Oreochromis niloticus: one gene and its partner. The protein of the gene in region 1 interacts with the protein of each later gene in a biochemical or structural test. Links are inferred from orthologs where the notes say so. Each region holds a gene or a part of one and is shown in the gene's direction. Other genes may lie near its edges.

The links.
Region 2: the proteins of ppp2cab (region 1) and rbl2 form a complex in vitro, tested with the Homo sapiens proteins (2 studies listed by BioGRID and IntAct, with this or other methods). The link is inferred for Oreochromis niloticus from reciprocal best matches to the Homo sapiens genes PPP2CA and RBL2.

The regions. Positions count from the first base shown.
Region 1 is NC_031975.2:22,852,670-22,860,446, reverse strand, and holds the start of ppp2cab (serine/threonine-protein phosphatase 2A catalytic subunit alpha isoform), read left to right. Parts: upstream 1-4,703; 5' UTR 4,704-4,867; coding exon 4,868-4,969; intron 4,970-7,777. UniProt on the Homo sapiens protein: Catalytic subunit of protein phosphatase 2A (PP2A), a serine/threonine phosphatase involved in the regulation of a wide variety of enzymes, signal transduction pathways, and cellular events.
Region 2 is NC_031972.2:1,776,572-1,784,326, forward strand, and holds the start of rbl2 (retinoblastoma-like protein 2), read left to right. Parts: upstream 1-4,651; 5' UTR 4,652-4,912; coding exon 4,913-5,050; intron 5,051-6,286; coding exon 6,287-6,417; intron 6,418-7,066; coding exon 7,067-7,267; intron 7,268-7,401; coding exon 7,402-7,466; intron 7,467-7,755. UniProt on the Homo sapiens protein: Key regulator of entry into cell division. Directly involved in heterochromatin formation by maintaining overall chromatin structure and, in particular, that of constitutive heterochromatin by stabilizing histone methylation.

The DNA.
Region 1 (7,777 bases):
GTATGAGGAAAATAGATGTATTGGTGCATTTCTTTCTCTCAAATAGAGCTTAACAATAATAGATGGTGATTTCATTTCAGTTTCAGGGAGATAACATTCCCCTCACTGATGCTGAACATTAAGACTTAAGATCATTGCTGGAATCGCTGGAATGCCCATGATTAATATACACTGTCTGAAGCTATTTAGTTTCTTGATGTCATGTCTGATTGTTATAAGAGTACTCAGAAAATTGAGAAGTAGTTTTTCCTTCAAAAAGTAATTGATGGTTGTGCGACAGCAGCAAAGCTTCACGATTTAAGATAGGATAATTGTTAATTGCCGTGACATACTTGAACATGTGCCAGTGTGTTGGAAGAGCAGATACAGCCTTTGATCTGTGTTATTGTTTCGTGTGTGGCCTCTGTTTGTTGTAAAGGCTGCATTTGCCTTTGAATGGGCCTGGATATGCTCGTGTCAAGCTTTCATAAGTCTGCTGAAAATCTAGAGCTACACCAAGACTGACACGTACTGGCTTTCCTGGATGGTATATGGTTATTCTTTTAGATGTAACCCCTATGACCTCTGTCAGCCTCTGCTCACAACAGTCTTGACACGTCTCTGGCACAAGTCTCATGCCTCTGTTCGAGTATTGGTGGCCTCCTGCTGACACAAGCAATTCGACTATACAGTTAAGTCAGAGCAGCAATACAACAGATGTAGTAAATAATGGAATAGCAATAAAACTGCACTTGCTTGCCTTGAGCTTGTGGTAGTTTGAAGGCAGAATTGTAAATGACTGTGTCCTGAAAATCCTTTAAGGCAACAGTTTTAGTATCAAAACAGACAGCTACTGTAGGTCGAAACTGGAAAGGGATCATTTTGATGGTTAGCACAAGACACCTGGATTTGTATCCACTGGCCAGCTGAGCTGCCCCCCACAGTCCAAAGACATGCTTCCAGGGTTGGTGATTGTAAATTGGCCACAGTGTGATTATAAGTGTTCTCTGCGGCAGCTTGTCCAGGGTGTACCCTGGTGTTTGGCTCTGGTACACGTGACCCATAGATAAGCAGAAGAAGATGGATGGATCTGATACACAGTGTTCTGAAAAAGCATTTGTTTTTGTTTTTGTTTTTACATATTTGTCAAACATTTATTAATTTTTCAGATCATCAAACAAATTTTAATCTTAGGGAAAGAAAACAACATTCAGCGTTTAAGTGATGATTACATTTATTATGGAGAAGAGCTATCCATTGTTAAATCATGAATTAGTTGTGATTAACCACATTTTTTGGAAAGCTGACGTCAATTTCATTAGTGATACGTAAGCCTGATTGCTGCCAGACATGTTGAATCAAGAATCACTTAAATAGAACCTGTCTGACGAAGTGAAATAGGCTAAAAGATCTCAAAAAGCAACAGATCATATCACAATCTCAAGAAACAACTGAGAAACAAAGTCATTGACATTTATCAGTCTGAAAAGGGTTACAAAACCAATGGAGAAAACCTGGAACAGTGATGAACCATCCCAGGAATAAAAAAAAAAAAAAACCCCACAAAGGCTCATCTTACATTTGCCAAAAAAAAATAAAAAATCTTAATGATCCCAAAGACTTTTGGGAAAATGTCTTGTGGACTGATGATGAAAAGTTGAACTTTGTGGAAGGTTTGAATCCTGTTGAAACTGGTGTAAAACTAACACAACATTTCATAGAAAGATCGTAACAACAGTCAAACATGTTGGTGGTAGTGTGATGGTCTGGGGCTGTTTTGCTGATTCGGGACCAGGACAACTTGCTGTAATTGATTGAACCATGAATTTTGCTGTCTAACAGAAAATCCTGATGGAAAATATCCGGCCATCAGTTCCTTTTCTGAAGCTCAAGAACACTTGAGTTTTGGAGCAGAACATTGATCCAAAACACACCATCCAAGTCCAACTGTGAAAAAAAAAAAATCCAAACAAAATGAGGGTTTGGCCCATTCAAACTTTAACAAATTTAATCCAACTGAGATACTTTGACATGACCCTAAACAGATCATTCATGCTGGGAACATCTCCAATGTGACTGAATTAAAATAATTTCACAAAGAAGAGAGGGTCAAAGTTCTTCCACCACAAAGTAAAAGAGCGAAGAGACAAAGTGAAAGAGTGAAAAGACAAAGTGAAAGAGTGAAAAGACAAAGTGAAACAGTGAAGAGACAAAGTGAAAGAGTCAAGAGACAAAGTGAAACAGTGAAGAGACAAAGTGAAAGAGTCAAGAGACAAAGTGAAACAGTGTAGAGACAAAGTGAAAGAGTGAAAAGACAAAGTGAAAGCATCAATTATCGAAAACACTTGTTTGGAGTTCTTACTGCCAAGGGTGGCACAACTAGTTATTATATTTAGGGGGCAATTACTTTTTTACACAGTGCCAAGTAGGTTTGGATAGTTTTTTTTCTTTAATAGATGTTACAGTCCCTGATAATGCTTTAGATGGAGAGACTCTTGAGGGATGGCTGTTATGAGGAAAGGCAGCCCAGAAACTTTGCCAGCAGCACACATCGTTGTGTACCTCAACTTTCGGTCTTTTACCCAGGCTAATCTGCCATTTTCCTTCCTTGGTTAGGTTTAGGGATTAGAGATCGATCTAGATTAGGGTTAGGGTAGGGGGTGATATATATATGTATATATATAAAGACACAATAAAATAAAGACAAACTGACAAATATTGTTCTGGGTGATTGGAAAAGATGTGGGATCACTGCCCCACACAGAGCCCCCAGCTAAAATAAATATGATTTATTATGTTACCAGTTTAATTGAGACTGGGATTAACTGGGACCTGGTTTAGTAAAGTCTCCATTATTTTATATTTTTGCACAATACAAGAGAAGACCTGCTTTGGACTTCACATAACAGTATGATATAATAGGTCTATATTTAGAGTTAAAGAAGAACAACACGTTGTATGCTGAATTGAAACTGTTAAAGCCACAGTCAGAAACTTACAGTGTGTAGTAACTTTTTAAAGAATATAGTTTGATATACATTTCCCATACATATACAGGAGGTTCTTGTGAATCGACAGCAGGGTCATTGCTGAAAGTGTCAGCAAATTTATCCCAAAAAGGTTGTTGCCACATTCTAATAAACTGCTTGATATGGGATGATCAATGTTCACAATTAAAGCTTATTCCCGCCCCCCATTTTTCTAATTCGAAATATTTCTTGAGTTGTTGCTCTCACTCTCAATCACTGAGTCCTTTTACATAATTTCAAAGAACAGAAGAGGCTTGACCGTGCTGATTAATTCACATATAATAAATGGTAAATGGACTGATTCTTATTTAGCGCTTTTCTGCTCTCCCGGAGTACTCAAAGCACCCAAAAACCTCCTTCGAGCCGGAATTGAACCAGCGACCTAAGGATTCCTGTTATCATACACCTACAGTCCTCCGCTCTACCAACTGAGCTATCGAAGGGACATGCCAGAACGTAGGCAATGTAGAAATTCTCCTGGGAACTGTAGTTTTTATCAAGTGCCTCCTAAACAATTCACTATTTGGACACGAGCCGTTTGGAAATAGTCTTATTTAAAGGTGAACTTGGTGTTTCTGTGAAGAGAGAACTTTTTGTGAAAGATTAACTCTGATTATGTTTATTACAGTGATGAAGCATGAGTGCATATGTGTGACGAACAGATGTATTATCAATGAATCTTTAATCGTTGTCTTTGTTAGAAAGTCACTGGCTTTAGGACTGAGTCTGAGTGAGATCACTTGGCAGTTTTGCTGATACCGTACACAAACAATAAACTCCTTTAAATGGGCCTAGCGACCTTTATTCATAACCGAAAACTGAGAGGAATGGATACGATGTGGAAGGTAAGCCTGTTAAAGACAGCGTGGTTAAAAGACAACGCTGTCTTTTGTTTTGTTTACTTTTTTGGCCTTGACAACAAGGAGATAAAACAGTGACATCATAGCCACGCCGAGAAATGCACGGCATGCTTTCACAGAGCCATGACGTATTCTCTTTAGTTTGTGTCGGTAACTTCCCCAATAAACGGCGAGCCAATGAAACTGCATAGGAAGCAGCTCAGCGAACCAATCAGTGAGCAGCCGTCATAGGTCTCTGGTTGCTATTTGTGTCGGGCGGCGCTCTGTTTTTAGTAAAGGTAGACCACACAGTGTTAGACCGGAAATTATTAGATTTTTCAACAATATACAGTCTGACGCAATCTTCATATAATAATAACAATCATCATCGTCATCATAATAAAAATAATATATCCTCAAACATCTACCGTGACCACATTCTGGGAAATATTTTATGTATATTTACCAACCTTTGTCACTGTGTAAGTTTCAGAGTGTGGCAGAAATTAGTTTATTCAGACCATGTTTACAAAAGCTGTTTACATAAAATTAAAATTTACATACGTAGAAAAGTTGTAAAAGGTGGTCAATTAAAACGTAACTCTTTTTTTTTTTAAATTATTTGCCAGATGCTAGTTTTTTTTTCTAGTTGCATTGTTGTTATGTTTAACCCTAGCAAGTTATAATTATTATTTTTTTCTTTTAGGTAAGGGTGTATTTCAGAACTTGTCCGCCAAGAAGCTTTTATTTCGAAGCGCAACCGGAAGTTTGTTATTTGCTCGCCAGCGGCTCGACAAGGGTGGATCCTTAACTGTCACCTCTCCCTCCCTCTCCCAGTTTCAATTCAGTCAAATCATCACAGTGATCTGGCAGTTAGCGATACATGCGCCTGTTAGTAAGAGAGTGATTAGCTTCTGCTGTGGCCGTTTTGTAAGCCCTCGAAAGACGGTAACCTCTGGGAGAGTCCTAACCCGAATTAGCTAACGTGACAAACTGCAGCAAACCCGAAAACACACAGAAATGGACGAAAAGGCGTTTACGAAAGAACTGGATCAGTGGATCGAGCAGCTCAATGAATGCAAGCAGCTGTCCGAGGGACAAGTAAAAACACTATGTGAAAAGGTAAGATTTTATTTTTTAATTCCCTTCCTTAACTTATTGCTAACGTCTTCTCCCTCCTCACCGCCGCCTTCCAGACATTCTTAAAATGGCGTCTATAGTGTATATTTCACTGCGTTGTACATGGATTTGACAATCATTACGAGTTGCCCCAGACTTCTGTTCTGTTTAAACAGCTTTACACCGTGATATGTCGCTAAATAAGAAATTACATGTGGTAGTTTTCGGGCTTCTTGGTACTTTATCGGGCAGGCAGGATGACCCATAAGCTTTGAATTCAAGTCACATACCACATTTACAGCCCTGCTCATTCACACTGACAGTGACTGCAGCATCTCTTTTAGCCGTGCTACTGAGTGGAAGTGCTCTGCCTCATTTTTTCCCTTTATATTTATGTATGGAAGCTGTTAGAAAACAGTAAAGGAAAAATGTGGCCAGCTGGCATCAAAATGGAAAGAGATAAAGTTGATTTCTTGTGAGAAAGTCAGGCTTTTGGGGTCCTTTTATTTAGCCTATTAAGGTTGATTGTATCCAGTTTAGGTGCAGCCACTTCGAGCAATGAAAATGTGAGGAAAAGCTTACTGTATAGCTCTTGGCACAGGGTATGGTGATCAAGGCAATCAATCCAGTAATAAATCCAGCCAGTCAGTTTATGTCAACGAGGAGGTTTTTCTTTCCTGCAATAAAAAAAAGAAAGAAAGTTGGCATCTACTTAAGAAATTTGGCCCTCCATTAAAGGAAAATAACCAGGGGTGTAATTATAAAAAGTTATTTCTAAGTGGGGCTTAGTTTAGTTGAGCTTAAAATACATTTTTGGTTATCCAATGACAAAAAAAATAGCAAATTGCTCAGACTTGTTAATTAAGGTAACACAGTCTGTTTACCTTCACTATATGTGGATGAATAAAGTTTGTTTATGTCGCCAAAGCCCCATCGGTGCCCTAAATGTGCTTTATAGTCTCTGCTGCTCCCAGCCAAAGATAACAAACATGAGAAACCACTGGGCTCTGCACTATCCACCACTTCTTATTTATGCTAAATTACACTGCAAATGTATTTCCTGCTCCTTGTTTCTGTATGCATTGTTCTTGGGTGTTCTCATTCTTGTTTGCTGAGTGCAAAACTTTGTTTCACGCGCCAGTGTCCGGCAGCCTCGCCTCTGTCAGTGTGCCCCAGGGTGGCTGTGGCTACAACGTAGCTTGCCATCACCAGTGTGTGAATGTGTGCGTGAATGGGTGAATAACTGGATATGTAAAGCGCTTTGGGGTCCTTAGGGACCAGAAAGGCGCTATATAAATACAGGCCAGGCCAGGCCAAATGTTGGAATGACAATAAAAATCCTTTAATTTTGAGCCAAGAAACACCCTGAATGAGGGCTAGTCTAAATGAGAGAAACACCTCCTGTAATTTGGAACAATTCGGCAACTCCTAAAACACTGCAAGTTTCAATCAAGACAATTTCCACAAACATTGTACCATCAAAGTCATAATCTTGTTAGTTTTTAATTAGATGTGCCTAATAAACTGCCAGCTGATTGTGTGTGTGATACTTTTCCCCCTCAGCAGCTCTCACAGGTAGTCAGGAAACTGAGTCCTTTATCTACCTTCTGTTTACTCATGTCTATAAATGGAGAGGATGACTTGTTCGAGGCAATAATGTGGGCAGTTTTCAAACTTTAACATGACCTAATGGATGAAAGTGATGTGTGGCGTGAATGGTAGTTTTCACATTTGAGTTCCTTAGTCCTTTGCTCTATTTTTTGCATCACTGCGTTGCATCATTCAGCTTTGGAAACATAGAGATAGTTAAAAATAGCTGAAAAGTGATTTAATGGTAATTTCCCTCAGACGTTGGTTGACCTTTGATGTTATCATCACAGTGTGAAGTTGACCTTTAAGCTGGTGTAAGGTTGTTCCTTCCTTTACTATTATAATTTTTTTTAAAGGAACCTTAATTAACTTGTTTTGAGTGTCATTATGCCCATATGCTTCTGCTTTGGTTGATAACTGGCCATTTGATTTTGTGGTCTGAGCTGAGCTTAACCCCAATCTCTCTGCTCTGTGCTGATTTCCGGCTCTGGATGTCTGGTTGTAAAGGAGCATTTACTCTGAAACATTTTACCACTTTTCTCTCCTCAGATTGTTTTGATTAATACTCTTTTTGTTTGTTTTTTGGATTTGTTTTTTGTGCTTTTTAATCCTGATCTTGATCTGTCTAGGATTTCTGTTTTCTAGAAAGCTCTCTTGCCCAAAGCGTGCTATATATTGTTGCTGCCTTGGGTCATGGTCCATTTTTAGGCTTCCCCCTGCTGGAGAATTGACACCCTGTCCTCTGATTGTTAGATTTATGTGTCAGAAGTCAAGTGACTGACACCATAACTTGACAGCGTGTATAGTGAATATGATAAATTTGCTGTTAGGCTTTACGCTGATAGAAGAGGCTTTTTCTTTTCTTTTCTTTTTGGACAGTTTTCAGAGTCTGTTTTTCTTTTTATGCTGCAGCTCTGCACCCCCTCCTTGACTTTTAAAAGGATACAGAGACTGGGCCCTCTACCATGTTTGGAGTTCTGTGTGCTGAAGTTTAAAGGTCTGGTATTCTCAAGTGGAACGTTAATCCCAACATTTGTTTCCATTTGAGTCCCAGTAGTTTTAAATGCTCATTACACTGTGTATCAGGATCCCAAAAAGGGACTGGATCCTTTCCATAGGGCTTAGAGGGAAGGTGGTGGTGGTGGTCAGTGCTTAGCTGAGCATATAAACTGGCCTTTTTATTAATGGAGTTAGTTGGAAAGCACACAGGGACTGTTTATA
Region 2 (7,755 bases), on another chromosome or scaffold:
ATCATCATCACTATCATCATCAGTATCATCATCATCATCATCATCATCATCATCATCACTATCATCATCATCATCATTATCATCATCAGCATCAGCAGCATCACCATCATCAGCATCAACATCATCACTATCATCATCATCATCATCATCGTCAGCAGCAGCAGCAGCAGTAGCATCACCATCATCATCACTATCATCAGCAGCAGCAGCAGCAGCATCATCACTATCATCATTAGCATTATTGCTGATGATGTTTCTGACATCTCATCACCGTTTCTTATGAAATATAATAAAGTCATTTTCCAATATTATTCAAACATTTCTTTCTCAGCATTTGGAGAAAAGTCCTTATTTTATTATTTATTATTTATTTAATTCCACTGAAATGAAACAGATGATATTTGTGGAGCATGAGCTGCAAACAGCTTTTCTCCCTCGGGCCGTCTCAGGGCGTTTGTACGGTCTCTCCCTCCAGGCGAGCACCCCCTGCAGGCCGAGCCTCCCTTCAGCAGCCGCTCCACCTGAGGCATGCTGGGAGCTCGCAGACTGCCTCCCCCCTCTAAAGCTGCAGCTGTCTGCGTCTCTGCTGGAAGCGGCGCCTCCTGCAGGTGAGCAAGGATGAGCGCTGTCAACACCTCAGCTGGAAGAGGAGGAGCAGCGTCCTTTAAGTTGAAGCTGAGCTCAGGATGAAGGACAGACTTTACACAGCTTTCTTCATGATGATGTATAACAAAAATAAAATTACTTGAATCTTTGATTAATCTGATGATTATTTTAATCAGGCAGGCAGTTGATGAGTGAAACTTCATTAGAAAATCATTAAACGGCCTCCTTGTGTCACATTTTATACCACAGCATTAGAGCTGGGCGATATAAGATTTTTTCATATCACGATATGTTTTTTCATTTCAGGCGATAACGATATATATCACGATATAAGCCAAATAACTATATTTGTAAGATTTAAATGTGCCATTGCTCACAAGTAAAATGTGAAATAATCAGCAGCTTGTTTTAATTAAAATATTTATTTCCCATAATAAGTTCAACAGGGTAGATGTACTTAAGGAACATGAGACTTCAGTTTCAGATAAATAAAGGCAAATATTGCAAACTACACAAAAGGCAGCCGCTAAAGCGTTTAAGTTTCAAAACAGAAAAAACAAAACAGACTAAATTGTCAATTCCACTTAGAAACAAAATATTAATTCTAAAAATAAATCTTAGTTTGTTTTACAGAAGAACAGACAAAATTGACTAACTTTTGTCAATATCAAATAAACTGAGAACTAAAAGGAAATTCTCAATCTCTCCTTGTTGTATAGCTTAGCTTTTCAAACAGTTTTAACAGTTACTTTAGTCTGACAAAAGCCGAATGACGAATTAGCGCTTTCAGTCAGAGATTGAGCATGCACCGCTTTATTGTATATCCAGACTTGCTTTCGGCACAATTTACAGTGCGCGCTACTCTGTTTTTTGTCAGACTTGAAATAGCCAAAATACCTTCACACTACGGAACTTCTGTGGCCCTTCCGTTCGACAAGCTCTCCTGCATTGGAACCATCATCTGTTTTTTCTTCGGTAACCTTCGCTCACGCTCTCGGTTGATTTTTCTCTAGTCGGCAAACTCATTTCCTTCATTACCCGGGCTGCACGGCTGCAAAAACAAATACACATGTGCACCTTGGCGCTTGTGCTGTACGTAACAAGTCACGTGACGTGACGCTGCGGCTGTGATTGGTTTGGCTTTGCGCTACTTAATTTGGATTGGCTGTTCTTTTTTTTCTTTTTTTTAAGAGGACAAGAGAGATGAAGCCTATCGCAATAGTTTAATTTTTCTATTGAGAAAAAGTTATTTCGCAATACATATCGTTATCGTTTTATCGCCCAGCTCTACACAGCATATGAAACATATCTAACAGTATGATCAGCAGCAATGCAAAGAGATAGAAAATTCTTAAAAGGCCCTGCAGGTGGCGCTGTGTGTGGTTGGCTTGTCTCCATCCTGTGAAAGCCGAGGTCTTTCTGGAGGTGGGCAGCTGTGTATTAAAGGAGTTAGGTCACTGACCTCGACGACCTGCAGTCCCTATGCTGTCCAGCAGGGGGCGGGTCCTCTGAAGATTGACTGGACAATGAGTCTCATGCTCAGCTGACCTCTGACCTAAGTGATGAGATTCTGTTCTCAGTCACTGCTTTCAGGTCTGGTTCAGGTGAGATGGGGACGAGAAAGTCAGAGGAATGTTTGGGTAGCACCTTTAAATGATTTTCTCACCTTAAAAACACACAAATCAATTCATTCAGGATCCAACAGCACACCGCAGCCTGATGTATAAAGATGAACTTTAAAGGACAGTTGGAAAAATTACAGTTATGAAGATCGACGGAAATAAGGCGATGAAGCTGCCGGCGTTAGCATACCACAGACCTTAAAAACCAAACAACGCTACGTAAAAACACAAGAAAATTACTTCCTGTTACTTTAAAGAAGGAAGAGTTATCAAAGACTGTACCAGATACACACAAATGTGAAAGGATCTGAAGGAGACTTCAGAAGTCTTAACGAAAGAACACCAACATGTGACTGGGATGGAGCGTTACAACAGAAGAAGGAACCTCCGTCTGTGCAGCCTGGCTGAACAGGAAGGAGACGAGGTTAAATAACGAGTGATAGAGACCTGCAAGGTTGTTGCTCCAGACGAGATCCATGTTTCTCGATGTGAGCCACTGAGCTGGGCAGAGAGAAAGCAACGAGAATCGACAGAGATTCATCTCAAGATGGAGTTTATATCAGCACTGCAAGTTTTCAGTAGCTTTAAAAAAAGGTGGTGAGATCATTATAATGAGTCTGAGTTTCTGACACATTCCTAAAGTGATGACTTCAGTCTCTACGTGAGTTTATTGTTCTATTATTCTGTCTTTAACAGTTTATTGAAGGGAGCCGCTGCAAGAAGAAGATGAAACATTTACAACCTTACAATAATTAATACTTGATTGCATCGAGCGACAGAAAAGCCGGCATGAGGTGAAGAAATGTGTGTGTAAATTCTGCGTTCAAATTAACGGTAAAATAACTTTATGGTAATGATATTTCTGTGTGAGGACAGTGAGACAAAGTCACAGAGTCACAGTGTAAGTTCATTAAGATTAATTTGAACCTTATTAGTGATAATATTTAAAGGTGCAGAGTCATCTCCAGACTGTAAACAAAACTACAATCAATTTATAGAATATGAGATTTAATTCAACACACAAACAAAGTGCAATAACTCTGACTAAGGCTACATTCACACTGCAGGTCTTAATGCTCAATTCCGATTTTCTTATCAAATCCGATTTTTTTGTCTGCTTGTTCACACTACAAATAAAAAGCGACAGCAAACGCTCTCCAGTGTGAACGCTCAAAGTGGCCCGCATGCGCAAAAGAAGACGTCACACACAACTCGCTCTGTTTAGACCCAAACCAAACAGTATTGTTTGACTGATGGCCCTTAAAATAAAGACTTCGGACTTCACGTTTCCCAATTTTTGCTTTAAGTTATTTTGTTATTTACATAATAATGTAAATAACCTAATAATTATCCTTATTGCTGTTTTAGAGGAGCGGTGCTTCAAAGGATAGTCGCAGATTTCTGTCAGAATCTGCAGATTATACAGTACAAATAAAATGTTCACGTTGTCTTCCCAACAGTTTCACTGACATCTACACTGGATGGCCAGGAAGCGTTCGCGATGTCTTCTCCGGCGCTGATAATTGGCGTCTGTCTTGTGTCAGTGACGTAAAAGACGGATTTAATGCGACGTCCGTTCAAACAGCAGTCACTTTCTAAAACATCGGATATGTATCGGATTCAGTACCACATACGAAAGTGACCCAGATCGGATTTGAAAATATCGGATTTGTGCCGCTCACACTGTCATACCATGATCGGATATGGGTCGCATAGGGTCAAAAAAAAATCGGATTTGATGCGCTTTCGCCTGCAGTGTGAATGTAGCCTTACATCTTTATTTTATGACTCGTTTGGGCTCCTATCTGCTGTTTAGTGTATGATCCCTGTCATCTGCACTGATTTCCACACACCCACAGTCAGGAAGTGTGGTTCAGGCCTCAGCTGATTATTAAAGGATCTGAAGGGTTGAGCAGACGTGTGTACAGTGCTACAGCGCAGCTGTACTCAGAGTCTAATCTACTGCCCACAGTCACAGTTCTGTGGTAACCGCAGTATTACTCTATCAAACTCTCCCGAGATATAATGGATGCTTTTCTTTCACACACTAATGTCATGCTTGAACAGCTTTATTTGCCTGGGGTTGTTCTGACAGCTGAGTCTGTGTCCTGTTTCCTTCAACAGGATAACGGACTGAAGTCCAAGTGCGGTTTCAGCCTTTGCTTTCACTGCACTGTGAGGACCTGTGCAGCAGATTAATGACAGCCGAACGATGAGCGCTCATTTAAACGTTTGTACAGGTTTGTGTTTCCCGCCTTTTACCGCTCACAGATTTTACAAAAGTTATAATTTAATGTTTTTCAGATGGACTTCCGGGCGAGCGGAGCGCCGCACCAGCGAAAAACACAACACAACCGGAAGCAGCAGCAGTGTGATTGACAGGTCGGCCCACCCACTCACACTCAGCTACGCACCTTTAGTGGGCGGGGCCCCGCTACGTTGTTTGTGCTATTCGTTAAAGCACGTACGCAGAGACGTGACGTTTGACGCTGTGGCTGGCAGCCGCGCATGCGTGCCTATCTGTCAGTCAGAGGACTTTTAAATGGCCTCGCAGTCCGGGAGCCCCGGTGCTCGGTAATAACGCCGTTATTCAGGACATCAGCCCCGTGAACAGCGTGTCCGCGCGCCGCGGGAGGCCCCCTGTGCCCGGCGGGATCGCGCTTTGTCCGGTCAGTGCGGTGAAAATGAGCGACGAGGACGAAACCGCGCAGAGAGCGCGCCGCGGGTTCGAGGAGCTCTGCAGGGCGCTGAACATGGACGAGGAGGCGAGCGGGGAGGCGTGGAGGAGCTACGAGAACATCAGCAGGAACTTCACCCTGGAGGTAGCACGCTCACCTGGACAGGTGGCTCTGTGACGTGTTTCTGACGGGTCTCGGTGTCCACGGGCAGGGGCGTGTCCGCAGGGGGCGGGGGGATGCCCCTTTAACTGTAGCGCTGTCATATTCTACCAGCAACAAGTATCTGAATACTTTTACTTGAGTACTTTACCGTGTGCCCTGCATGGCGTTTCCTCCTCCATCAGGTGGAGGTGGTGTTTATGTTGCTCCGCCCAGCAGCCCGACGTGTTAAACACAGTAATAATAAAGAACTGTGCTACACTAATATCAGCATAACGAGTACTTTAAGTACTGTGTGTACTTGGATCTGAGCAGTATGACGGTGAATTTTACTTCAGTGATGGCTCTAAGTACACTGAATGTGAGCATTAAATACCCAGGAACGCCCCTCAAGCGAAGGCTGGGTCCATCCTTCAGAGGACCCGGCCTTCGCGGTCTACGTGGGCCGGGTCCTTCAAAGACCAAGAAGGCCGGAAGTGAGCGGCTGTGAAATGGGACGGTCTGGCCTTCAGATCTGCGTCACCGCTGTCTCGGTGGAGTTTAATAAACTCGGCCGTCTGCTCCTTGCTATCTAAAATATAACAGGACACTGGAGCAAACTCTCAACCGTCTCACACTTCTGTTTAATCAGTTTTCTGTTTGACGTTTATTCAGCTGTGTGAAAACCCCAGAGGAACCCACCCGAGGGATTAATAAAGTTTTATTTAATCTAATCTAATAACTTTAATCTCAGCCAAACCGATTTACTCACAAACAAATAAAACACTGAAAAAAGCCAAACAATTACATTTTTAGGTTGTCTAAGTGACTTATATATTACGTTTAACCTGAGTCACGAAAGACAGCGGGGGTCTGAAAACGATGAAGCCGGGAGTCCGCTGCTCTCGCTGGCTCGAGTGACCATTGAACCCCCGGCTTGCTATCAAGCGGGTGGGTAACAGACGTCTCCGAAAACGTTGGAGCACTTTTGCAAATATGTGATATCTTGATAAACCAAGCAGATATCTGAAGTTTACACAGCTACATTCTCGCCTGAAAATATGTTAAAAGTTTATTTTGTGACCCAGAAAGGGAAGGAGACGAGAGTGCTGTCCGTCCCTCGATGCTTCCTTCGTCCCGCAGCCTCGTCTGCATTTCTGCGCACGTCTAATCTTTTAAATAAAAATGATATTTATTCAGTAACGTCTGCAAAGCTTCCTGTCGTCTCGTTTCCTGTCGCAGGGCAGCGAGCTGCACTGGTTGGCGTGTGCCCTCTACGTGGCCTGCAGGTCGTCGGTGCCCACGGTGGGGAAAGGCACGGCCGAGGGGAACTACGTCTCTCTGACCCGAATCCTGCGCTGCTCCGAGATGAGGTCGGTGTGCCCCTCCCCACCTTCACACCCACAGAAACACAATCACTGAAGACATAACGACACACAGCCAGGCAGGTAACCCAGGTGAAGAGAATCAGGGCGGGGCCAGCAGGCACAGTAACAGAGGCAGACCTTCAAAATAAAACAGGAAATAGACAAAAGACTATGAACACGAGGGAACACGAGAACCACTGAGACACACAAACAGCTGGAAATGAGCAGGAAAACTAAATATATAAAATAATATCAGTTACAAAATATTAAAAATGATGAATAAATAAAAATAGAATAAAATGGAAATAATCACAATAATAAAAATTAAAATTGAAAAAGGTTTTTAATTGTGTGATCAAAACATGAAGCTGTAAACAAACAATGAGATTTATGTTCAGATATTTGTGACACTGTCACGTTATCTGCTCTGCACCTGCATCAGTAATCAAGCAGATTCACATAAACGTGGCTGATTTTATTTCCCAAAGCATATCATCTAAAAACAAAAACACAAAATAAGAATATAAATAAATAAATGATAGACCCTGTCAGACGTGCGCTCTGTGAATGGTTTAGAGGCAACCACGAGGTTTATAATACGCCGTCTTCGTGGTTCGGCGTGCTTCTCATATCCCCGCCCTCTGCTCCTCCTCAGCCTCATCGAATTCTTCAGTAAGATGAAGAAGTGGCAGGACATGGCCGACCTGCCGCCGGACTTCCGTCAGAGCACCGACAAGCTCGAGAGGAACTTCATTGTGTCCGCCGTCATCTTCAAGAAGTATGTCCCCATCTTCAAATCCATCTTCAGGGCGCCGTCAGAGGAGCCGCCGCGAGTGCACCGCAGCCGCAAGCAGAGGTGGGACTGTGACCTTTCACCTCACCTTCATACTAACTGCTCAGTATTCAATTCTTTGGTGTTTGTTGGTGTGGTCGCCGGGCGGCGGCGGGACTGCGGCGTCCGCTAACCAATGTGCGCACTTTGCTTTGCAGACGCCACCCGTGCACCGTGACCGAGGTCTTCAACTTCTGCTGGGTGCTGTTTGTCCACGCCAAAGGTAAGCACTTCCTGTTTACTGATGTCAGAGAAGTCCGTCCAGCGCCCCCCGGTGCAAACAACAGCTGGTCACAGACAGCTGGAGGTTTCGTCAGTGGGAATAGTGTTTCCCTCCCACTGTCGCCAAGTGCTCGCTCACGTGTGCGGTGTTTCTCTGTGTTACTGTCGGGTCGGGTTGGGATTGGGAGCTGCAGAAATGGGATAACAAATAATCAGGACTGTGAAGCTTCAATCTCTTCTTCTTCTGCAGCTTTGAGTGCACTGCTGCATCCCAGCAGTCACTCAGCTGG